3 linked regions of the Arabidopsis thaliana genome follow. The protein of the gene in region 1 interacts with the protein of each later gene in a pairwise test. Each region holds a gene or a part of one and is shown in the gene's direction. Other genes may lie near its edges.

Region 1 (7,511 bases):
TTCTTCTGCTCACGCTTCTTTGCCTCGGCTTCACCTTCTCTTCTTGATCTACAACTTCTTGTTCTCGTTTCTCTTCTACTTTCTCCGTCTTTCTTCTTTCTCTCACCATTTTTAAGATTCTTTGATGAATGAAGAGATTCTGATTATGATTTTATGATGTTGGTTTGGTTGTGATTTTGTAATTATAAGTTAATGATGGAGACAAAAATGTGGTCTTTTGGGGATTGCTTTGAGGCCTTTTGATAGACAGAAAAGTCAACTCCTTATAGAAGAGTAAGTGGTCGGTATAGATCCAAGATTATTAATTTAATTACTATTTTGTTATAAAAAAGCAAATGGTGAGAGTTGAAGTTTAGATATGATGTATCATGTTTACACTTATATAATGTTAGTCTAAAAAATAAAATAAAAAAATAATAATTATCACTATATAAGTTATTGCCATTCTGTCTAAATTTTAACAGGTCAGTGAATTAAATTAATATTATTAACAATAAGATATGTTATCATGTATTATCAATAAGAAATCTACTAAGACATGTTATCATGTGCGTAGGAGTTTTGGCCCAATAAATGCTTGTGCACTCCAAGAACATCACAAAGGATGAGAATGAGATGCATTCTTGCTCTTCGATTTCTTAATAAATGTATAATATTGACTTTTCTTGGTTCAAAAGTTTGTTTTTATCTGTTGCATCTTGAGTAGGAAGAGATATTTTTGCTATCTTGGATCCACCTACCAATCTTGTTTCTGACCATTCTTTCTATTCGTTTGCAATTTGGTTGCTGCTAAGTTGGATCAAAACGGCTTTATTCCATAGTTTCAAATGCCTAGTGCTACTGGCAAGATAAAGCGAAGGAAAGTACGCAGAGCTTAGAGCTTAGATCTTTTCTTAGTTTTGTTTACTTACCTATGATGGAGTTTTATAGGAGTACGAATAACGCATGCAAGAAAACTGAACCCCTTATAGATATAAAGATGTACCTTTAAAAAATAAAAATAAAAGATGTACCTTGACACATAGACTAATTGGAAAACTTACAAAAGGCGTTTTTTTCTGTGTTTTTTTGATTAAAACCACAATACCGTACCAATCACAATACTTTTAACTGATTTGTGTTTTTCGAAAAAAAAAAAGTTTGCGATTTAATTTGTCAAATGAACAATACATTGGAACGCTTTCCAAAAGAAGAAAAACTCTTTACCTAGCGGTTTTAAGTAAAAGTGCATTCCAACAAAGAGATCAATTAATTTTTTAACAGCTGTTTATATTATTATTTTTGTGCCAATGTTGATTTCAATAATAGAGGAAACTAAACCGGATAAACCGGGTACAAAGAAAGAGATAAAGACCAGTCTTAGCTAGTTTGTTTTATTTAATTAAAAACTATGAAAATGCAATTACAGGAAATAGAAACATAACAATGCTTTTAGAAATTTTGACAATTATTATCTACTATAAGCTTATATACGTTCTATAATCAATTTACTTGTAAAAAAATTACTTGTAAAAATGATTTTTTTTTTAATTTTCCATAATGAAACTATTCAACGGATTTAATAATATGTATGTTAAACTTTAAAATGTATATTTTGATTTATTTGTGTATATGGTTTATAAATATATGTTATTGTTTATTTATTAACACAAAAAATAAATAATGATTAATATATATATTTATATATATATAATCTATAATCCGCACCACAAATAGATTTTTCACCAATCAAACATTATTCCGTACTGCTTATTTTGTACAAACCACAATTGTCCCACAAATATATTTTTCACGCACTTACCGCAGTTAATTCGTACTGCACGGTCATAATACTTTCTCCGTACACTAAAAACCGCGGTGACCATTCAGATCCATAGAAATCATCCATCGTAACTGTAACGAGACGACGACCACCACTTTTCATGGACCAAACGTTTTTTCTCGGTATATGGGCCAATCTCGTCTGACAGTTCATTTTTCTGGAAGCTTAAATATTTGTTTACTGATTCTATAATTCACCATATAATCTTTTTCTTGTGTTTGTTTTCACTCATACGAACTAACAATCGATTCACGGTTAATCACCCATCATAAGTTTGCTTTACTTTAAATGCGCTTAACTTTAGAGTTTTCTTTAGATTTTTAATCAAAAAAAAAAAATAGTGCATTTTAATAACATATATGACCAAATCAATTTATTTAAATTTTCCTTATACACCACTATATTTCAATATAAGTAGTAATATAGAAGAGAGAACAATTAATTTATGCATGTAAATCCACACAATTTTTACTAAAATAAATAGATTAGATGAGATTCTTGTAATTATAAAAATCGTGTTTACTACTACGTTACAACAATCTAGACGTAAAATTCTACTCTTTCTTCTATCGATGTGTTATAGATTGATCGACAATTATAACAATCTTGAACATACATGATATAGAGTTTAAACTCTAGACGTAGAATTATATCTGGACAAGTCAGGAGCTAAGCCACAATGTGTTGCTCTAGTTATAGTTATAGTACTTTTCTTAAGTTAGAAACCTCAATTGCTTGAAAGCTCAAGCTCTTGCCCATTGCCCAATATAGAACTAAAAATGGTTTCAATGGATAAAGTCATATAAAAAGCTTTATATTTTCTTCTTATGAAATTCTAAATAATTAGTTTAAGGAATGGACAAAAGCGTCATCAGTGATGTGATAAGATCGTCTTATCGCATCAACAGAATGGATGGGAAACCACAAGTGAAATGTTTCTGGTCAAATTGAAACTTGGAGAATATTAAAGTTTTTGAAACAGAAAGATTTAATAATTATATCAAATCTTTTTAAATAAAAATAAAAAATAATTATATCATAAGAAAATATCTTCATAATAACATCTTAATAAGTATCCTATTGAGTTACGCATCTTTGTAATAGAAACCAAATACAAAATAAACCAAATCAAAATTTATAATATTTTTTTGGAACCTTGATACATTATGGTTGGTTCAGGTCTACATCAGATTGTATATATATACTTAATTATAAAACTGACATATTATTATATTTTCCTTCGGATAATCTAATTAAAATACATTTTAGAAAATAATATTTTGATACCAAACAGTGACCAATTATTGGTGAATAAAAACTATAATAATATTTGTTCTTCATCTTATACAAACTAGTATAAGAGCTTGGTTGCTCAAACCATTTTCTCTTCTCTCTGAAAAGAAACTCAACTTTTTTTCTTTATCTTTAACATCAAAAAACTTTTTCGATATCTTTACAACCATTAAACAAAAAATTTGGCCACTACAAGTTGAAAAAGTTTTGATTATATCTAATCGCTGAAATGGATTACAAGGTATCAAGAAGTGGGGAGATAGTAGAAGGAGAAGTAGAAGATTCAGAAAAGATTGATTTACCACCTGGTTTCAGATTTCACCCAACTGATGAAGAACTTATAACACACTATCTAAGACCAAAGGTTGTAAACTCTTTTTTCTCTGCTATAGCTATTGGTGAAGTTGATCTCAACAAAGTCGAGCCTTGGGACTTGCCTTGTAAGTTATAGGTCATTTATTTTCTAGGTTTTTAAAAACCTTCTATGTTTTGTTACTTCTAAACACTGTTTTTTTTTAGGGAAGGCTAAGCTTGGGGAAAAAGAGTGGTACTTCTTTTGCGTAAGAGACCGAAAATACCCGACTGGTTTAAGAACGAATCGTGCTACTAAAGCCGGTTATTGGAAAGCTACAGGGAAAGATAAAGAGATCTTCAAAGGGAAATCTCTTGTTGGTATGAAGAAAACATTGGTTTTCTACAAAGGAAGAGCTCCTAAAGGAGTAAAAACAAATTGGGTCATGCATGAGTATCGATTAGAAGGCAAATTCGCTATCGATAATCTCTCTAAAACCGCTAAGGTAACATTAATATATTAATATATATCATAGTTCTTCTCTGTTTTTGTTGTGACATGATGTTTTTTTTATGCAAAGCCAAAGGTAATATGTATATTGATTTATAATGTTTTCTTGTGTTGTTTGTGGATGCAGAACGAATGTGTTATTAGTCGTGTTTTTCATACACGGACTGATGGTACGAAGGAGCATATGTCCGTTGGTTTACCTCCGCTGATGGATTCTTCTCCATATCTAAAGAGTAGAGGACAAGACTCTTTAGCCGGGACCACCCTTGGTGGGTTGTTGTCTCACGTTACCTACTTCTCCGACCAAACAACCGATGACAAGAGTCTTGTGGCCGATTTTAAAACTACCATGTTTGGTTCCGGATCGACTAACTTTTTACCAAACATAGGTTCTCTACTAGACTTCGATCCTCTGTTTCTACAAAACAATTCTTCAGTACTGAAGATGTTGCTTGACAATGAAGAAACCCAATTTAAGAAGAATCTTCACAATTCAGGTTCATCAGAGAGTGAACTAACAGCGAGTTCTTGGCAAGGTCACAATTCTTATGGTTCCACTGGTCCAGTGAATCTTGATTGCGTTTGGAAATTCTGAATTTGGAAAATCGAAAATTTGGATGTTAACTAGGGGGTATATAGGGTTTTTAAAAACAGTGTATATATGCGTTATGTGTTAGCTTTAGATTCTAGGATATACAAAGATGACACTAATAGATTCTTATAACATTTTGTAAAAAAAAATCATTGTAGTGAATACTCTCTTGCCATTTGAAATCCATTGTGTTTGCATATTTAAGGTGTTCATAAATTGTCATGCTGAATTGTGTTTGCATATTCTCATTATTTCCCTGTTTGTAATTAATGATTGTAACATACCTAAGTAGATAATATTAGATTAAAAATATGACTAGTTTACCAAATTTTACTTGTTACATTTTGGGTTCTTAATCAAAATCAAAAGGCTGCAAATGGTTGTCTCAAGTAGAAAATATTAAGTTGAAAAAAACTGAGATCTTAATAAAACTTCTGATAAACAGAATAAAAACTAAACAAGTGAAACAATAAGGCTTCATGATGAAAAGTGAATTTCAGGAGATTACTGGCAGCAGAGACACGAAAAAAAAACCGAAACTGATTCGGGTCGGGTCATAAGCTGCAAAGCGGATCCCTAATTTTGATATATGCACATAAAATTATTAGACAGATTCCCCAATTGTTTTTACAGGGATGTCCCAGTACTTGTGCAATCATAAACAGCCTTTGATACTCACAAAAAAAAAAAACGAAAATAACGAAGAAGATAGAAACGGCGGAAGAACATAAGTGTGTATTGTCTTTTAGAAACTATCGGTGTGATAAACAAGCTTATATATAAACTAGTAAAACCCTAATCATGTGTTTGTTGATATTTTGGGCTTTTTTGACCTAAATATTAATGGGCTTTTATTATATGTCAAAATGGGCTTTGTTTTTTCATTCACAATCCCGAGAAGAACTTACTCATTTCATAAGCAAATCAATCATTCACATTTTCGAATATATAATTTAGTCATCTTTGTATATCCTAGTCATTTTTGATTTGCTATACAATTATAATTCCAAGTCTATCTCTTTATGATAATTGCCAAAAGACATTTCTAAGGGAAGACACGGATAAATACCATTTCTCGAATTGTAATCTCAATAACTCTCAATAATAGAGGGTCAAAACCTCTTTTTCTTATGCCAATTGCCTTCAAGCTTTCAATATAAAAAATTGTATTCATATATATATATATATATATATATATATATATATATATATATATATATATATATTTAATAGGAGCAATTAATCTCAACTCCAAAGTCTCCTACTCTACAGAAATTATTACTAGTTTGAGTAGTTTATATGTAATGGTATCAACCCACTCTTATCAACAAAGCATATTTCCCAAGTCAATTTTGAGATTTAAATAAGTTTTTATTTCCGGTGAAAATTATTATTAATCTGTGGATTTCCAACTTGAAATCAAATTGAGTGGAGAGACTCATATCTTATATATACTATTTAAGATTCTACTCAATTTTCAATGTGGGACAATATCTCTAATACGTCTCTTCGAGATAATGGTTCTTCTGGCCATTCATCTCGATATGTTCAGACATTGATCAGCGGGTCAACTACTGATTGAGCTGATGTGGATTGGGTTGAGCATGTGCAGATCGTGGTATGATATTTTATTAGATTGTAGGCTTCCAACTCAAAACTAATTGGCAATAAATAGAGAAATCCATCTCTTATATATACTTTTTAAAATTGTACTCAACTTCCAGTGCAAATCGTACTCAACTTCCATGCAAAGCCGTGCCGGCCACTAACCATAAACCATTTTTTTAGGCCACAATTCCAAGAAAATTGTGTTACTTTGGTTGGTTTGAGCTGACTCAAATATTCTTTATGCTTCAAATTCAATCTATTTTAGTGACATTTATTCCAATATATAATTTGAACATTTGGTTTTGTATTGTTTTTGTTATGCTTTATTTTTATATTTTAAAATTTCTTCTTATATATGTATATATAATTTAGTTTTCTTTAATTTATTATTTAATTATTTAACTAGACAAATTGGAACATATTTTTTTTTGCCCGAAATCTCAGCAGGGCACTGTTCCAATGTGAGACAATATCTTCAATCTACCTATTTTGAGGAAAAAAGAATTCTTGTTATTACATAATATACTAAGACTACCTTCATTTCAGGTTGACACCGTTCGTGTCGTGTGACCATTTTATCGGCCCTCTCTTCTCGGCGCAAATACCAAGTCTCAACGTCCAACTTCTCTCTTCTCTCTCACAGACAGACTAATATAGAATATGTGTTATATATAGTAATGAAATGATCAATCGAATTTGTATACTAATAGTTATCAAATTATTAAAAAAGTATCAGCTCCACTTAAGATCCAAATCCCTCATCATCAACTCTCCTATATAAACATTCGAACTCCTGACAATTCATCTCATAAAAAGGTTATAAAAAAAAAAGGAAAGAAAACCCAAACAATGTCTTCAAATATATTGGCCATGGTGGCCATGCAACTCCTCCTTATACGCATAGTTTCTTCCCAAAACGTTACGAATGAGTATTTGAACCACCAATGCAACAACACACAAGGGACATACACGCGGGGTAGTACGTTTGAGAAGAATCTCAACCAAGTCATCCGTAACATCTCTCACCTCCATCTTCGCTACGGTTACACCTACAACTCCAATGTTGAGGCTTACGAAGTTAGTAAAGATCCCAACATTGTCTTCGTTTTGCTCCAGTGTCGTGGTGACTCTTACGGGTCCAAGTGCCACTCCTGCCTCCACACAGCCTTCTCTGGGGTAACTTCACTTCAATATAAGTCACATATTTCCATATATGAACATATACACACGTCTAATCATAGTTAAGTTTGAGAGATAACTATATTAATTTGATTTCATTGATACAACTGATATACATCTTAACGCAAGTAGAAAAGAAAGCTATATGTTATATGTAGATTATTCCATGCATGATCGGTGTGTATATAATTGTATATATATATGACTAGCTTCGT
Region 2 (8,031 bases), on another chromosome or scaffold:
GCAAGTGAGTTGGGAGATAAAGTGTCTTCGTTACCTAAAGGTAAAACTCCGTCACTTTTATTGCCTTCAATTCCTTATATTCGTGGAAAGAATTGGCCGATCATTCCTAATTAAGCAGCAACAGGCAACAGCGTTAGTGGATATGGTTGACGATTGTTGTTTTTTTTCTTCTTGTTTTTGACATCACTCTACGCTCTGTTTTACACTATGATGCTCTGTTTGATTGTTTTCTTTAATTGGTGAGTTTCAATTTAGACAATTTTCTAATCTTTTTTTTTTTACTATGAAAAATGAAAATTATATAGTAGATCCAGCAAAGTCAAAACTTATTGAATTATTGATGTTTAAATATCATCAATTGTTTTCAATCTATAAATTTGAGAATAGAGTAGTAGTAATCTTTTAATTCTTTAGTGTAACTTTTTTTTTCTGTTGTCAATTTTCTATATATTTGGCTTTTTCTTTGTTTCTATTAGTTTATAAGAAAACTAAAATTAGTGTATTTTATTTATTAATTTATAATGTGTATATATATCTATTTACAAATACCAATTGACGTCCAAAATTACTATTTAATATTCTGAATAGAATTTTTACTAAACACATAACATTCTTTCTGACCAAAAAAAATAATAATTCTTCTTTGAAACTTTGAATCTTTTTTTTTAATAATAAAATATTAATAAGAAATGAACAAAGCACGAAAATTATAGACACAAATACAACAAGTACAGAAGCTTATAAATATGAGAAATTCCTAAAAATAGCACTAAAACAAGGGAATAGAATATTATAGTATCTAGTGTTAGTGTGTTCATGTCCTAGTCTTTTAACTCAATAGAAGTATTGAAAGATTAAATATTCAATGATTGTTTTTTTGTTTCTTTTTGTTTGAAGAACTCATTGATTGGTTTTACTTTTACTGTTTTACATAAGACCAGAAACAAATAAAGTGATCATATGATTCAGTTAACAAATTGAATGTGAATTATCCACAATCTGTCCCCGGTCCAATCACAACGAGTTTTCATAACGTAGGTAAACCAAACCATTGCTAAATTTGTGACACATAAATTATAGCAAAATATCCACCTTGTTATCTAACATTACTTACATTAAATAAAACAGGTGTCTCATTGGCTAAAAAAAAAACAGGTGTCTCAATGATTAAACAATGAATATTTTCTACTCGAATTTGATTAAACAATATAATCAGCGTTTAGTCTGACCACATCCCATTATAGAAGAAGGTAAACTAGAAACCTTATCAATCCCAGACTCGAACACAATCCCCATTCCCATGAAAAAATGCGATTCAATGTGGCAGTGAAACGACCAAACGCCAGGATTATCCGCTCTAAAACGCAACGCCGTCCAGCCAAACGGTTGAACCGCAACCGTGTTTTTCTTTATCGGGTCGACCCGGTTATACCTTTTCGGATCCTCCGACTCATTAAACTTTCCTTCTCCGTACCCAAGCACCCAAAAATCATGACCGTGTAAATGCCACGGGTGCGTTTCACTGTTGTTTGCGTTCATTGTATTCGCGTTTTGTAAAATCACGTCCACGGTTGAATTGAATCTCAATCTGTAGATTCCATCGCTCGTCGTCGCGTTAGCGTTAAGGGGTTTCGCGAATATGTCGTAATTTCGAGAATCGTAGTTCTCCGGTGCCGTGAAACGCCAGTCAAACGCGTTTGTGAGGTTTTGCTTTAACGCGATTAGGTACGGCGTTTTAGGGTGGTGATAGGAAACGTTGTTGACCGACCAACGTCTGTATCCGTTGACTTCGTTTTGTGTATTCAGAAGCACAATGACTTTGTCAGAATTCTCCGGCAGCGCGTGAATGAATCCTCGACGCGCCTTGATTGCTAGGCTTTGTGCAAGACGGGAGCGCGTGTCGTTCCATTCCGGTACGATATTGGATGATTCCGACGTGGGAGGACGCCGTCGTGGGTGGTTCGGGTAGTAGTTGAGTACAGCGGTTGCCGGTGGAGTTGTCGCCGGACGGCTAACTATGCTTGAGGTGATCCAATAGTTTCGTCGAGGGTTTTGATCTGCCTTGAGAAGTACGGAATAAGTTTCGCCGGAGTATACAAAGAGATTCTTCACCGTGAATGGTTCTACGTAGTGTCCGTCTGCTTCAACAACTGTCAAATTATGTCCCTGTTGTTTAATTTAACCCATCTTCCATTAGAATACGAAAAAGAAAGAAACAGAGAAGACAATGAAAATGATTGGCTTGATTCTCAAGCTAAGTACCTCGATTTGGAAACTGAGAGCAGAGAGAGCCGTCAAGCTACCTATTCGAAGCCTGTATGTCTTTCCGGGAATCACCGTAAGAATAAAACGCGAACAATCAGCGTTTGAGACGTTACATACTCCAGACACTAAGCTTGGAGGAGTGGTTAGGTTGTTTGAGCAGTTGAATCTTCCTCTTCCTTGTATCATAAGCGACTGATAATATATCCAAATAAGAATCATCCATAAACATAAAATTTGATCGATCAAACAAGAATCTGACTTTTGAGTGATGGAAAAAAGAACTCACTTGTGGCTCACCGACCCACTTGAAGGGTATGGATGCTAAACCGGTGGCTTTCTCTGACATACTTTTGTGATACCAATCAGTTAACAAAAAGTTCCGGTCATAATCGTATGTAAACGGTTCGGGCTCTGTGGCCGGAGGAGAAACTTGAATCATTCCGATTAATCCAGACTCTCTCTGCATCCCATAGTGTGAATGATACATGTATGTACCAGGCTACAAACAAATTTCAAAACTTAACATAAAAACATAAAGAAAGATTGAAACTTTAATGTGAGTTTTATAACTCTTTACCCTATCAACGACAAATTGGTAAATGAAGACTTCTCCAGGAAGAATTGGACATTGAGTAACACCTTCTACTCCATCGAACCATGGAGTCCCAATCTGAAACATATATAAATCAATCTTTTTCAGTCATTCACCGAGTGCTTACGAGGATGTTTACGTACCTGTCGGATTCCATGCCAATGGACAGCGACATTTTCAGTCATGAAGCTATTCTTGAGCTCGACAACGATGGTGTCACCTTGTTGAGCTTTAATGGTGGGACCTGGAAACTTACCATTGATTGTGATTACTAGCTTCTCGAAACAATCCGGTGACTTGAACTCGTACTTCACTTCCCATTTGAATCTCCGGATCTTTCCCTGACAGAGGACGGAAGAAAAAAACAGGGCAATGAAACAGAGGACCATAAGATTGAAGACATGGACTGTGTCTGATGATCTCTTCGGTCTCATCATTTTTCCAATCGTGTCTCCAAGAATCAAAGAAGATAAGAAGCTGAGATTTCAATATATAGTTCGAGATTAATCAATTCATATATACATAACGATAGATCATTGCATGTCATGTGTTTACAGATAACTCATTTGTCTTTTGGAGAAAAACTGGAGAGAAAACGCGTTTCACTTTTCTACGATTTAGTGATAATTTCTAATAATAATACATCGACTTTTATTAGCAAAGTAAAATTGTAGTATATGATTCTGTGTACCTCATGTGTTTTGTAAGTCATAAAAGTCAAGTATGTTCGATGCTTCTACACTGCTTTTCCTTTTTCCGTAGTAAAACCACATTATATTTTGATGTTTGATTGTAAGATTTTTAAAGCCTAAACTATTGTTAAAACAAAATACTTAATCAAATCATTAAATGAATAATAGGTTTTACGGTTTGAACTAGCTAGTTAGTCACTCATTTCATTTTTTAAAAATCTCGAATTTAAATACCTACAATAGAAAATTGAATAATTTACATGTTCATACCCCTTATCCGAAAAAAATATGGGGTTAGGTCTGAAATTCTTTAGTTAATTAAAAAGACTTACTTATTGCAGTACATTCCACATAGACTTTTAATTTGGTCAAGTCTTAGCTCAGGGTCAATGGTAAGAATCGAGAAAAAATCTCTTGGACCAAGTCAGAGCTTAATTTTTTTTGGTCGTTATATTAAATATCTACGTAAAAATCAATGATGTAACATGTAACATGGGGAAAATAATATTATCAGTATGTAACAATATTATAACATGGTATTTATTACCATTACTCCACCATTTAAGTAACTCCTTTCGTTACACGAAGAAAAGTCATAAGACAAAAAATCAACATTGATCAATCGATCCGAGACAAGTTAATTGTAATTTTGGATTTAATTATTGTTTCATTTCTAGTGAATTAAAAAATAAAATATATGAAATCCAAAGTTTGGATTCTCCTCCAATTTTAGTATTTGATCTAATTATTTTTGATCTAATTATAAAAAAATCTTAATAAACCGCCTAAAATCATAATCATATCAAATGTTTTTTTTTAATAAAAAATAATCTAAATTTTTATGCCAAAAAGAAGAATTTAGCGTAATGGTATCTATTGGAAAGACGACCCAAATCCAAAGACCAAACCAGGTTACTTCCACAATGTTCACGGAGTCATCTCCAGCAATGGATCCGGATTTACCCGAATCCGAAACCCGACCCGAATTCAATCCCTCCTCCACTGATTCCACCGCCATGGCAGAGTCAACCGATGCAGGGGAACCGACGGCATTCGAATTAGCCTCATCCCAAGTCACATCCGTCGCCGATCTACCACCGGAACGATTCAATTCGCTCGACGAATTAACACACGATCTCGGCTCGCTCCACGAGCTTTCGACCCGTGGCTCATGGCAAGCGATCCTCGAGAAGATATCTCAAGCCAGAGCTCTCTTCCTCCTCACAAAGCCTCACGAGCATCTCACTTATCTCACTTACCAAGTTATGGCTCTCGCGAAGCTTCGTCGCTCCGATGAAGCTTCTCATGAGCTTAATTCCTTGCACGATTTCGACGGGACGCATTACAGGTACGAATCGTTCCCTGAGATTTACCCTAATCGGAGAGGATCTATGGTTCCTTTCTCTTTACGATGGCTCTACGCTTTGATCCCGACTAAGCTTGGTAATCGTCAGGAAGGGTTAGATCGTTTATATGTTTTGCTTGACTTTGTTCGAGATCGAATCAGAGAGAAAGAATCTCAGAGTTTAGAGAGTTCTGTGGAATTGTGGAAGAAAAGAGAGACATTTGTGATGAATTGCTTGCTAGGGTTTCATTTAGGTCACAAGGAATTTGGGGTGTCTTTGGATTTGATGAAGGAATTGATCAATCGTGATCCGTTAGACCCGGTTTTGATTTCGAAACTAGGGTCTGTTCAGATGCAGTTTGGTGATGTAGAAGGAGCTAAAACTACGTTTGATAGAGTTGAGAAGATGTTGAATGAAGGAAAGAGCAATGGTTTATTGAACGAGATACAGTTCAACAATCTTGTTGGTAGGAATAAGGCTTTGGTTTATGTTGTGGCAAAGGACTATGTTTCTGCTGTGAGAGAGTATGACAAATGCATTGAAAGGGATAACTCTGATATTATCGCTGTCAACAATAAGGCTCTTTGTTTGATGTACTTGAGAGATCTATCGGATGCGATTAAGGTGATGGAAAGTGCATTGGAGAGAGTGCCAACCGCGGCTTTGAACGAGAGCTTGGTGGTGAATTTGTGTAGTATGTATGAGTTGGCTTATGTTAATCATACTGATGTTAAGCGGACGTTAAACAATTGGATTGCACGTGTTGCTCCTGATGACTTTGATTCATCTTGTACCAGAGTTTGAGGTATTGTCTCTGTTCTTGTTTCATTCTTGAATTTTTCCCTTTTTTAGGTTTTGGCATGTCTAAGAACTGATTGGTGATGTTATGATGACTTCGATAAATTGTGAAGTCTTAAGAATATGAAACAATCTGGTTAGGTAGATAAGAGAGATGATATTCTCTAGCGCCCTAAACTTCTTGTTCTCTGTTTTGGTTTCATATAATTTCCATTGGAGGTATGCAAATTGATCATCTAGCATTCAAAATTGCAGGTTTTCATTCCAAACAAAGGTAATTAGTCAAAGAGTTTATGTCTTCAATGATGAAACAAATCTTGGTGGGTTTGGCCTCAGCTGGAGACTCTGTTGTTGCAATTACCGGCTTCAAATTCGTTGTAGTTTTCTGTTGTGTAAGCTAGCAAATGGTTTGTTGCCCCCAAACACTTGGTAACTTCCTGCATTCGTTTTCTCATATTCATCTTCTTATAACGTTTTTTTGCATTTGCCGTTAACCACTAATGAAGAATGTGTGTTCTTGCAACTCTTCCTATGCACAGAGATTTTGGGTAAATCAAATATTTAAAGCCATGTATTTTGAGTTGAATATTCCCGTTGAGAGGATCATATAAGGATCAATAATTTGGGATATTACCAGTTTTTGAGAGAAATTTTCCCTTTCAGCTTTCAGATTCCTTGTATATCTTTATGACAATATCAAAGGAATCAATTCTCGTAGAACATGAATCTACCAACGAATTCTTTCATATAACAACCCTTTTTTATTGGTTTGGAAAAAGCAAAGTAAAGATTCTTACTTTACCCTACAGAGCAAAATTTTCTCCGCGAAGCTAAATAATCCCCACAGTAACCCTCCAACACAAATCTACGCTTAACTTTTATCACAAGAAAACGCAAACCCCAAATCCACAATATATACACATACCTACTCACAGGATTAACAAACCGAACATAAACCAAAATCTGATATGGCGGTCCAAACATTTCCCAACGAAATCGTCTTCTTCGATCTAGAAACAAACGTACCAAACAAAGCAGGGCAACATTTTCACATACTAGAGTTTGGGGCGATCATCGTATGTCCAAAAAAACTCGAGGAGCTAGAGAGCTTCACAACGCTTATACAACCTAAAGACTTGTCGGTGGTCTCAATAAGGTCGTCTAGGTCAGATGGGATCACCAGGGCTAAGGTTACGAACGCACCAAGTTTTGAAGACGTGGCTGAGAAAATCCATGGTTTGTTGAACGGTAGGATTTGGGCAGGTCATAACATTAGAAGATTTGATTGCGTTAGGATCAAAGAAGCTTTCGCTGAGATCGGTAAAGCTGCGCCTGAACCCTCAGGGATCATTGATTCTTTGGGGTTATTAAGTGACAAGTTTGGCAAAAGAGCTGGTAACATGAAGGTACCATTATCCAAGATTCTTTGTAAGCATTAGAAATCTTAGGAATTTATATATTGAAGGTCATTGTGCACTATTTTGTAGATGGCAAGTTTGGCTGCCTATTTTGGTCTTGGAGTTCAAAAGCACAGGTACCTAATCATATATGTTTGTATCTATTACTGTTACGTTTTCCTTAAGGTGAAATAACGCACATATGTCATATAATTGCAGGAGTCTCGATGATGTTCGAATGAATTTAGAGGTCCTCAAGCATTGTGCAACAGTGCTTTTCTTGGTATGTCGTATACTCATAATTCTTTTTTTTCTTTCAAGATTTTTATTTCAAATATACAAATTAACTCATTTGTATATGTGTTTATATATCACCTAAATATACAGGAATCTACACTTCCCAATCATTTGGAAGGAAAATGGCACACTTCTTCTAAGATTATGACAAGAAGTCGAAGGAATTACCAAATAGCCCAAAGGGCAATGCCTTACTCGAAGGGTAGTCTCGAGAAGGTAATTGTGTTTTTTTCCCCTCTCTTCAAATCATAAAGAATTTAAATTGCCGTTAAATTTTGTCTTTCTTTTAAATGTTTTTGTTTAATACAGATGACACAAAATGTGAAGAATCTGTTAAGCAAAGCTCAAGGCAATCAAACTCTCCAAAGCTTGATCAATCATTCTCATTCTTTGCTTAGATGATTACTGCATCCCTCCTAAATGTTAATTTTTTTATAAATAGTTTGAAGAATGAATTTAATTGTATATAATATTTATACCTTCATTGACTCTATTACCAAATAATTCAATTGATATTGTTTATATTTTGTCACTAACAACTTTTTATCTGATTTTTACCTCAAACTTTTATGAATACATCACATTGGTATTGTTTGTCATCTTTAAATATATTTTCTTTTGTCGTATTATCTACGACTTATTAA
Region 3 (9,161 bases), on another chromosome or scaffold:
GATTTCGAGAGCGTTAAGGACCTAGAAAATCGCCGGAAATAACGAAATGAAAAGGAAAGGTGGAGGGACTTACGGAATAACTTTTCTGGAGCGCAGACTAACCATCGAAGGAGAAGGAAATTCCGGTAAGAAAAACCCAAACGGCGGGAGAAATCACCGAGCCAAACAGTCGTCTCCGTCGCTTTTGAGAGCAAATTCAAAACCGAGGGTATATTGAAAAAACACACTCTCATATTTACGCCTATTTTCTTATTTTTTATTAAATTGGGAGTAGCGCCCATGGGCGGGAAGCTTGAAATGACAGGTTTACCCCTAACCCTTATTTACGATTTTGGTCATATGATCATCCTATTATTAAACTAAAAAACATTTAATGGAATGGGCATTATTAAATCTGCTGGATTTGTCGACACAATTAGTAATAACCTTTGTAGTGAATTGAAGCTTCAAACTATATGAGTAGTACAAAATTGCCAATTTCAAATGCAAAAATTGTGTCAAGAATATCTCAGTTGCACGAGTGTGTTGATAATGTATCTCAAAAAGTTATGATATCGGCTAAAAACGAATAACAATATTTTTAATAAAAAGCTAAATCATTTTTCGATCTGCAAATTGGCCGGAGGAAGAAAATGATCAACGGAGAGACCCCAAACATTAAAATCAACTTCTTCTATCCTCCACTTCTCCGTCATCTGTCTCCGATGATTCGCCGACGCTTCACCGTACCGGAAAACCGTGACCGATGTTTTCCCGCCGTGAGCGATGTTCACATTGTCAACGTATCGGTAATCATCCATCACCGACTCAGCACTAGTCTCCCAGAAGACATCTTCGTCTTCCTTGGTCCTCATTCTCAAAAGCCGCGAATCTTCGAACTGAATCAAAAGTCCCGATCTTTGACTAAAATAACCCCATATCGTGTGATGAATTATCTCAAAATTCGGACCGCTTTGAGCTTCTCGAACCGCCGGACTCGTCTCCAGTTTCAAGATAAAGCAATCCTCACCGTTGATTATCTTCTCTCCGATACACGTTGCGTCAAGAAACAGATTCGCCGTCGAACGAGGATCTAACCCCTGCTCAAACAATAAATAAACCACCGGTTCAACATTTTGAGAACCGGACATTACATCAAAAAAAAAATCAATAACCGGATTGGACCTGTAAAAACCGGCGGAGAGGTCTTGGCGTTCCGGTAGACGCCGGAGTTTGCTGGTTAGAGGAATGTCGCCATGAAAGCCGACCGTTGCTTCCACATATCACTTTGCAACCGGAGACGACGAGCTCCAAACACCAAAGATCTGGATCCTTTTGCCATAAAACGAAACCACCCATTTCGTCGTTGCTCTTTAGATTAACGCCCGAATCATCTCCTTGATGAAACTCCGACGCCGTCATCTTCACTTGTCCCGTGACGCACATGCTGTTCACGGCGTTTAACGCCTGTGGTCCTCCCGTCGCTGCTATGTACTGCTGTACAATGTATTTCGCCGTTGAAGCTTGCTGCAATCGTAATTCATAAGCAAAAAAACAATGAAACTGAAGTTGATGACTCTGTGTACGATGAATAATGTAATGCAGACTTGCAGAGTACAACACATGGATTAACAACTTTATGTTGAATACTTACGAAGCAGGGTAATGACTTTTTTGGGTTTTGATCATAAAAGAAAAAAAGAAAAAAAAAAGAGGAATCATATTTTCAACATCTTTGTTATGTTTTCATAAGGATTGATTTTGAATGACTTACAATGGAGCAATCTTTGACGGGCTTATGAACAGAGTGACCGACTTGAACCTGGAGAGGTATAAGAGGCGAGCCAACGAGGTAGAGAAGGAACCGGAGCTCGTTGATACGAGCGGCGATAAGCGGTTGCGACCATTTATCAGACGTTTGAGCTTTCATCCACGTCATCATATTTTGCCACCTAAGTGCAACGTTGTTGCCCATACCGGAAAACATCTCCTCCGGTATCGGAACTTCCAACACCGTCTCCAGACCATCGTCTTTGTCTATGTTCGGACACAGCTTCCTCATACACTTCCCACTCCTTCTATTCTTTCTGTTCCTCTGTTTCTCTTTTGTTCTATTGGTGATCGATTGTATGAAACCCACAAATGGTTCGAAGATTGTCAGCACTACTGTGATTCATGAAACCTCTTTTTTCTTTCTTCTTTTTTTCGTATAATTGATGATTCCAAAATTTGTTTCGTCCTCGTTTAATTGTTTTTTAAGGTCTTCCAATTTATATTTGTGGTTCTCCTTTGATTTAGGCTATTTTCATTGGCATTTTAGTTCCACTCTTAATTAGTTCTAAATTTTCCGAGAAGTCACAATCTTCCTTAATTAGCATTGTATTCGTGACAACAATCCCTATATATATACGACGTTGAAGTTGCAACATAGACACAAGTAAGATGGTGGACATAGTTATATAGAATGCATGGATCCGAATAATGATATTAATATTGGATAATAATAAAATACTATAACACTTGCGCTCAGTGGTCAAAATTTCCATTGTAAAAATCCGAATGATGGAAAAAGATAAATGCACATGTTTTTCTAGTTATTGGAAATTTTCATATTTGTAGACTGATTTGCGTGGTCTTGGGGTTTGCCCTCTTCTTCAGGATTCGTTTTTATAAAATTACAATATACTGTAATATTGGTAAACCAGTCATTCCATCATTTTCATATTTTAAATTCATTAGTTTAGTCTTTGCCTCTTTTGCCACCATTTTCTCTAGGATTTCGTATGATAAAATAATAACATTATTTTCGCAACAAATATTAATTTGTTTCCTACAATTGTGTGAGACCACAAGATATTCATGTGTGCATTTTTAGACAAACAATTTGAACCATTTATTTTCCGAAGATAAAAGATATCAAATAAAAACTCATACTATACTATACAAAAAAATGTGTGGTAAATGAACATAACTCCCATGGGGACTACTCATTAAAAACCAGAGTCAGCCTTGTCCTTTTCAATAATTGGTCCAACACAGATATCACACGCAATAGCAATTTCGAAAACAACGTGAAAACAGAAAAGCAGTGCCCTTAAATCATAGTAATTACATTCATACAATATGTGGTTATTTGCAAGCATTATAAACTTTACATGCATAAATAAACAGAAAAGCCCATAAAGCATGGTTGGACTCAGGTTGAGAATACAAATAACTCGGCCCAAAAAGATCATTACGTTGTTCGGATTTGAATAAACGAAATCAATGTGTACGGATCAAGTGAGTCAAAGTATTTAGTTATAAGTCATAACTAATATACGTATTAAGCTCATTGAACAAACAAATACAAGATTATCAGGAAAAAAAAAGAAAGATAATTTGTTCAGATTATTATTGGATACTAGTGGTTGGAACTGCTATTTGGACCATATGTTAAGGAATTTGTATGCTGGCAGAATAGTGAGTTTATGGAGGGACCCATCTCAGCCTAAAATAATTCTTCCTTTGAAACTAACAAAAAAAGGGGTCCCAAATTAATTAATTTCAATGCTTGTAAAGTCAAATGCAATTTTTTCAATGGACATATATGTAACATTCGCTTTTTACAAAATTTGAATCCAATCTTAAGTGCAAATTACTAAGCAAAGATAAATTTTAATTCTTATAGTAATCGTTGTCGTTTTACATACTTTTACTCATAAATTAAACCTTTTTTATTTTAACTAAGAACGAAGAAATTAAGGGAAGTGGCGGTGTAACATATACACAGAAATCCAAGCTGGTTACTTTTCAATCCACCTGTCAGCGTCATGTTTATCCAACGGATGCAAATTCAGATAACAAAAGACACGTGTCAGAATCTGAGCTTCTCAGATGCCTACAAGGCAATGAAAACGTTAAAACAAAAGCTGAACGAATATTACCAAAAAAGGGTCAAAGTCAACAAAAACAGACGAACATTGCATTAAATTGGGTTATAGTTTCGTTAACCAGAAATATACACCCACAAAGAAGAAAACAAATTGCGATTTCGAACGTAATGCTACACGACAAATTCCCACAGTAAAAAATGTTATTCGTTCAACAACAAAATTTGGTTAATTATTTTACGGTCCGACAACGCGACGGTAATACCCTCCTTTGTCCCCGTCTAAGGACAGTGACAGTAAAATAATTTTTTTGTTTATTGACATGTTCATAAGCTAAGAATTTAGATTAATATTGGAAATACTAAAACCCAATCTTAAACCAAACACGGATATATCTTTTGACAAAATAAGTCGTTTAGCTCAAAATCTATATAGTAAACAATGACATAAAATAAATTTATAATTTCTACGCCATCGACAATATTAATAAATTACTTGATCGTTTGATTACGTAACATGTAGAGATACAATAGAAAAATAATACAAACCTGATATTGCATTCATTGGGTACTGCATATATTCACATGCCATTTTCTAATTTTCATCTGTGTACATCGTCTATGATATAATCTTTTCCATAAAGGTGAAAAAATTATTACAATATCTATTTACTCGTTTTGTTTGGTGCTTTTAACCTTTCTACACCGTTTTCAATTTAAAATCTACAAAAAGATTATTCTATTTTAATTATTTGCATGGGAGTCCAAAATACAGATTTAGATACTTGGAACTTGAAAGTCGACACAATTATGTATAAAAAATGTTTGTTAACAAAAAAAAAAGGGTGAAAAGTTGAGAGAAAAAAATTAGTATAATTGTCTCCAGAGAGAGAAAAGAAGAAGAAGGCTCCTTTTTCTTGGACAAGCCAAAGAAAAAGAAAAAAAAGGTTGAAGCTTTCACACAAAGTCTCACACACAAGCCGCCTTATTTTTTTTTCCGGTGATTCTTCAGAGAGAAACAAGCCGGAAGTAGTAAGGATAACTCGTCTCCGGTGAAATCTCAGCCGTTGGATCAGATCGGTGGACGGTGGATAAAAGATGCGTGTGGAGAAGAGAGAGTCTGGGTTAAATGATTAAGAGATTTCTTGGGTAATGAAGTTTTGATTTTTTTTCTTTTTCTTTTGGGGGTTTTAAATCTTTTTGAAGAAGAGAGGTCAGAGAGTGAGTTATCAGAAAAGTTTGGTGGCGGAAAGGGGAAAAGGAGATTTTTACGAAAAGCAGATTGACTGGTAGCTGAAGAAGAGAGAGAGAAAGAGAGACTAAACAGAGTAGGAGGAGGATGATAAACCCTAGATTGAGCTGAGCTGAGATTTGCTTCTTCCTTTTTGTGTTCAAAGATTGGAATTTAGTATCTTTGAAACATGCCGGTTGATTTAGATAATTCCTCTACAGTTTCCGGCGATGCAAGCGTCTCATCGACCGGAAACCAAAATCTAACTCCTAAATCCGTCGGGAAGAAGAAACGGAATCTTCCTGGAATGCCTGGTACTTCTCAAAAATCCAAACTTTTTTTTTTCTGTTTTTTGAGTTTGAAATTTTCTGTTTTTAGTTGTTCTCACTGATTGTCTAAATTCAGATCCAGACGCTGAAGTGATAGCTTTGTCACCTAAAACACTTATGGCAACGAATCGATTCGTTTGCGAAATCTGTAACAAAGGTTTTCAACGTGACCAGAATCTTCAGCTTCATCGTCGTGGTCACAATCTTCCATGGAAACTTCGACAGAGATCGACTAAAGAAGTGAGGAAGAAGGTTTATGTTTGTCCTGTTTCTGGCTGTGTTCATCATGACCCTTCACGTGCTCTTGGAGATCTTACTGGAATCAAGAAACACTTTTGTCGGAAACACGGCGAGAAGAAATGGAAGTGTGAGAAATGTTCTAAGAAGTATGCTGTTCAATCAGATTGGAAAGCTCATTCGAAGATTTGTGGCACCAAGGAGTATAAATGCGATTGTGGAACTCTGTTTTCTAGGTGGCGACAAATTGTTATAAACATATTCAAAGGTTTGATCTTTCTTATGGATTTTACTAACTTGTGGATTGGGTTTTGTTGCAGGAGAGATAGCTTTATAACGCATAGAGCCTTTTGTGATGCCTTGGCTGAAGAGAGTGCGAAGAATCATACTCAAAGCAAGAAACTTTATCCAGAAACTGTCACTAGGAAGAATCCTGAAATTGAGCAAAAATCTCCAGCAGCTGTTGAGTCTTCTCCGTCATTACCGCCTTCTTCTCCGCCATCGGTTGCTATAGCTCCGGCACCGGCTATTTCGGTTGAGACTGAGTCTGTCAAAATCATATCTTCCTCTGTTTTGCCGATTCAGAATTCTCCAGGTACATAATACAAACTCTCTGTTTGATGGCAAAATGTGGCAAAATCGCTACATGTAACAATTTATCAATTCTCTAACCGAAACAAGAACTCTTTAAAATAATCCAACTGTAAACTGGTCGGTGAACTTGGAGTTTAGTTGGTTTTGTCTGTAGCGCCGTTATATTTCTGATGTCTGCTAAAAAACTGAATCGTGTTCGTCGTCTTCCATAGCTAAGCCTATAATGTATCCATTAATTATAATTAAAGCCTCAAAGTTTATGTCCATGACTCATCATCTCTTTTTGTTTGTAGAATCTCAAGAAAACAACAATCATCCTGAAGTCATTATTGAGGAAGCTTCAAGAACGATCGGGTTCAATGTTAGCTCATCGGATCTAAGCAATGATCACAGTAACAACAATGGTGGATACGCAGGTTTGTTTGTATCATCAACAGCTTCGCCTAGTTTATATGCTTCCTCAACCGCTTCTCCAAGTCTATTCGCACCATCGTCCTCCATGGAACCCATCTCTCTCTGTCTCTCGACGAACCCTTCTTTGTTCGGACCAACAATACGAGATCCGCCACATTTCCTAACTCCTCTCCCTCCTCAACCGGCAATGTCAGCTACTGCATTGCTCCAAAAAGCTGCACAAATGGGTTCCACGGGATCAGGAGGTTCGTTGCTTCGCGGGTTAGGCATAGTTTCAACTACTTCTTCATCTATGGAACTCAGCAATCATGATGCATTGTCATTAGCTCCTGGTCTTGGACTTGGACTACCTTGTAGCAGCGGTGGTAGCGGATCGGGTCTAAAAGAGCTCATGATGGGGAATTCATCGGTGTTTGGTCCGAAACAGACGACACTAGACTTTCTTGGATTAGGAAGAGCTGTTGGTAATGGTGGTAATACCGGAGGTGGATTGTCTGCTCTGTTAACTTCTATAGGTGGTGGAGGTGGAATCGATCTGTTTGGATCAGGGGAGTTTTCAGGCAAAGACATTGGAAGAAGTTCGTAAGAGAGACAAAAGGCATGAACGTAGTAGACCAGTGTAGTATATAGTTCATCAAGTTTGTTTCAGGTTTTAGATGTTTTGGTATCTTGTTTTAGTGAAAGCTTTAGTTTTATTCCCAAGTGGGTTTTCTCTCAAGTACATAAATCTCCTAGCAACAACAACAAAATATATTGTTTTTTTTTTGGTGTGTGGTTTATTATAACTCACATGTTGTACTTTGAGAGATAATTTGAACTCGGGTTGTGACATGACAGCTAAATTATTACAGATGGTTACAAATCTTGGTCTAGTTCTGATGGAAGTCTCTACCATGTGAAAACAATCAATGGGGTTTGAAGTTTCTATTATTGGGTGTTGCTTGCTGTCTTAAAACGCTGAATCGAATTTTTGCATTAATGGGAACAATTCGTAGATGAGATTGAATTGACTTCTCCCAAAAGTGATAAATTTTTTGGAAGGTGGTGATATTTGTCTAAAAACTTGCAGAACTAAAAATAGTCTCAATTTGGCCAGATAATTTGAGACTTGACCAGTGTGATTTGATTGGAGAATCGACCAAAGATTTTGGATTTTGATGTTTCAATCGCTACGTAGGTCCATTATAGTGATAGAATTATCATGACAATTCAACCCACAAAGGCACTATTTTGTATTTTATTTTGGAGAGCAAGATAATTTATTTACCCACATCATATTTACTGTATTACAAAATCGGAAGTTTAACAGAAATCAGTAACTATGATTAGTGTGACTTTATCATTTGATCAATATTGATATGCTTGGACTCGAGCAATGATCGTGTAGTTTTCAATATTAAGAAAATAAAATTGGTTGTGTACAGTAAGCAAGAAGAGAGAAGCCTATTGGGGTTGATTGTGAAATGTTTCTTTCTTAATAGGCCATTGATATTTTAAGCTCATTAGTCATTATGCTGAAGACTACTCAAGTCCACAAGCTTAATACTATTGGGCCTTAAATGTCAAGTCCAAGACCATTAAATTATTATCTCTTAGTATTTTTTAATTTCGCTGAGAAATTTCAGACATCGAAAACTGAACACGAAGAAACAAGTTAAGTTTCCGATTTTGCCCTCATCGGCTAATGAGTTTTACGGAGGAGCTCGCAGCTGCAGGTAGGTAGCGGAAACAAGAGATCTTTATATATTCCTTCCTCTCTTCTCTAACCTAATTCCGGCGAAGAAGAAGACGGAAAAAGCCCTGACTAGTGAAGAATCCGGTAATAGTTTATCTCTTATCTCAAGTATTTGAAGTGGGTAATGATTAAGGGCTCGTTTTATAGTCTGTTGATTTTGGTGTAGCTTTGTTCAGTTTTGGTAAAAATCTTTCCTTTTATTGATTATTATTGATTCAGATGTCAGCGACTGCTCTCTCGAGATTAAACCCAGTTTCTCAATTTGGGTTTCAAAGAATCGTTGCTGGGAAAAGTAAGAGCTTCTTCTCCAATTCGGGTCAAAGGAGATTGTTTTCTGATAGTTCTCGGTTTCGTCAAGCCATGGCTGCTTCTGGTTCTTTGCCAGTGTTTGGAGACGCTTGTTTGGATGATTTGGTTACTACTTGTTCAAATGGCTTAGACTTCACTAAGAAGCGTTCTAGTGGTGGTAGCTTCACTATTAATTGTCCTGTAGCTAGCATGAGACTTGGGAAGAGAGGGGGAATGATGAAGAACCGATTGGTTTGTCACTATTCTGTTGTTGATCCGCTAGAAAAGAGTCGTGCACTCTTTGGGACATTGTCTAAGAGTGTTCATACTTCTCCTATGGCTTGTTTCTCGGTTGGACCGGCTCATGAGCTGTCTTCTCTTAACGGTGGTTCTCAAGAGTCACCACCAACTACTACTACATCTCTTAAGTAAGTTCTTTTACACTTTCTTAATCTTTTTGTTACCAATTGGTTTCAATGTTTT

Evidence for each region. Proteins that work in one complex are often made in the same cells at the same time.
Region 2: the proteins of NAC3 (region 1) and AT4G39820 interact in a two-hybrid assay, tested with the Arabidopsis thaliana proteins (one large-scale study listed by BioGRID).
Region 3: the proteins of NAC3 (region 1) and IDD1 interact in a two-hybrid assay, tested with the Arabidopsis thaliana proteins (one large-scale study listed by BioGRID).

What each region holds. Positions count from the first base shown.
Region 1 is NC_003074.8:11,030,495-11,038,005, forward strand, and holds NAC3 (NAC domain containing protein 3), read left to right. Parts: upstream 1-3,170; 5' UTR 3,171-3,344; coding exon 3,345-3,555; intron 3,556-3,634; coding exon 3,635-3,912; intron 3,913-4,044; coding exon 4,045-4,512; 3' UTR 4,513-4,814; downstream 4,815-7,511. Other genes in the region: AT3G29034 (uncharacterized protein), read right to left, coding at 1-109; AT3G29040 (cysteine-rich repeat secretory protein, putative (DUF26)), read left to right, coding at 6,967-7,293, 7,506-7,511. UniProt on the Arabidopsis thaliana protein: Transcription activator that binds to DNA in promoters of target genes on a specific bipartite motif 5'-[AG]CGT[AG](4-5n)[AG][CT]ACGCAA-3'.
Region 2 is NC_003075.7:18,474,366-18,482,396, reverse strand, and holds AT4G39820 (Tetratricopeptide repeat (TPR)-like superfamily protein), read left to right. Parts: upstream 1-4,336; 5' UTR 4,337-4,415; coding exon 4,416-5,699; 3' UTR 5,700-5,700; intron 5,701-5,948; 3' UTR 5,949-6,439; downstream 6,440-8,031. Other genes in the region: AT4G39830 (Cupredoxin superfamily protein), read right to left, coding at 1,213-2,166, 2,263-2,457, 2,552-2,764, 2,843-2,935, 3,001-3,294; AT4G39810 (Polynucleotidyl transferase, ribonuclease H-like superfamily protein), read left to right, coding at 6,662-7,099, 7,181-7,227, 7,310-7,373, 7,478-7,603, 7,697-7,789.
Region 3 is NC_003076.8:26,639,994-26,649,154, reverse strand, and holds IDD1 (C2H2-like zinc finger protein), read left to right. Parts: upstream 1-4,416; 5' UTR 4,417-5,271; coding exon 5,272-5,395; intron 5,396-5,486; coding exon 5,487-5,883; intron 5,884-5,967; coding exon 5,968-6,242; intron 6,243-6,534; coding exon 6,535-7,241; 3' UTR 7,242-7,569; downstream 7,570-9,161. Other genes in the region: CHR1 (chromatin remodeling 1), read right to left, coding at 74-105; AT5G66740 (spindle assembly abnormal protein (DUF620)), read right to left, coding at 597-1,079, 1,165-1,506, 1,754-2,041; AT5G66720 (Protein phosphatase 2C family protein), read left to right, coding at 8,610-9,106. UniProt on the Arabidopsis thaliana protein: Transcription factor promoting the transition to germination by regulating light and hormonal signaling during seed maturation. Acts as a positive regulator of phytochrome and/or gibberellin action.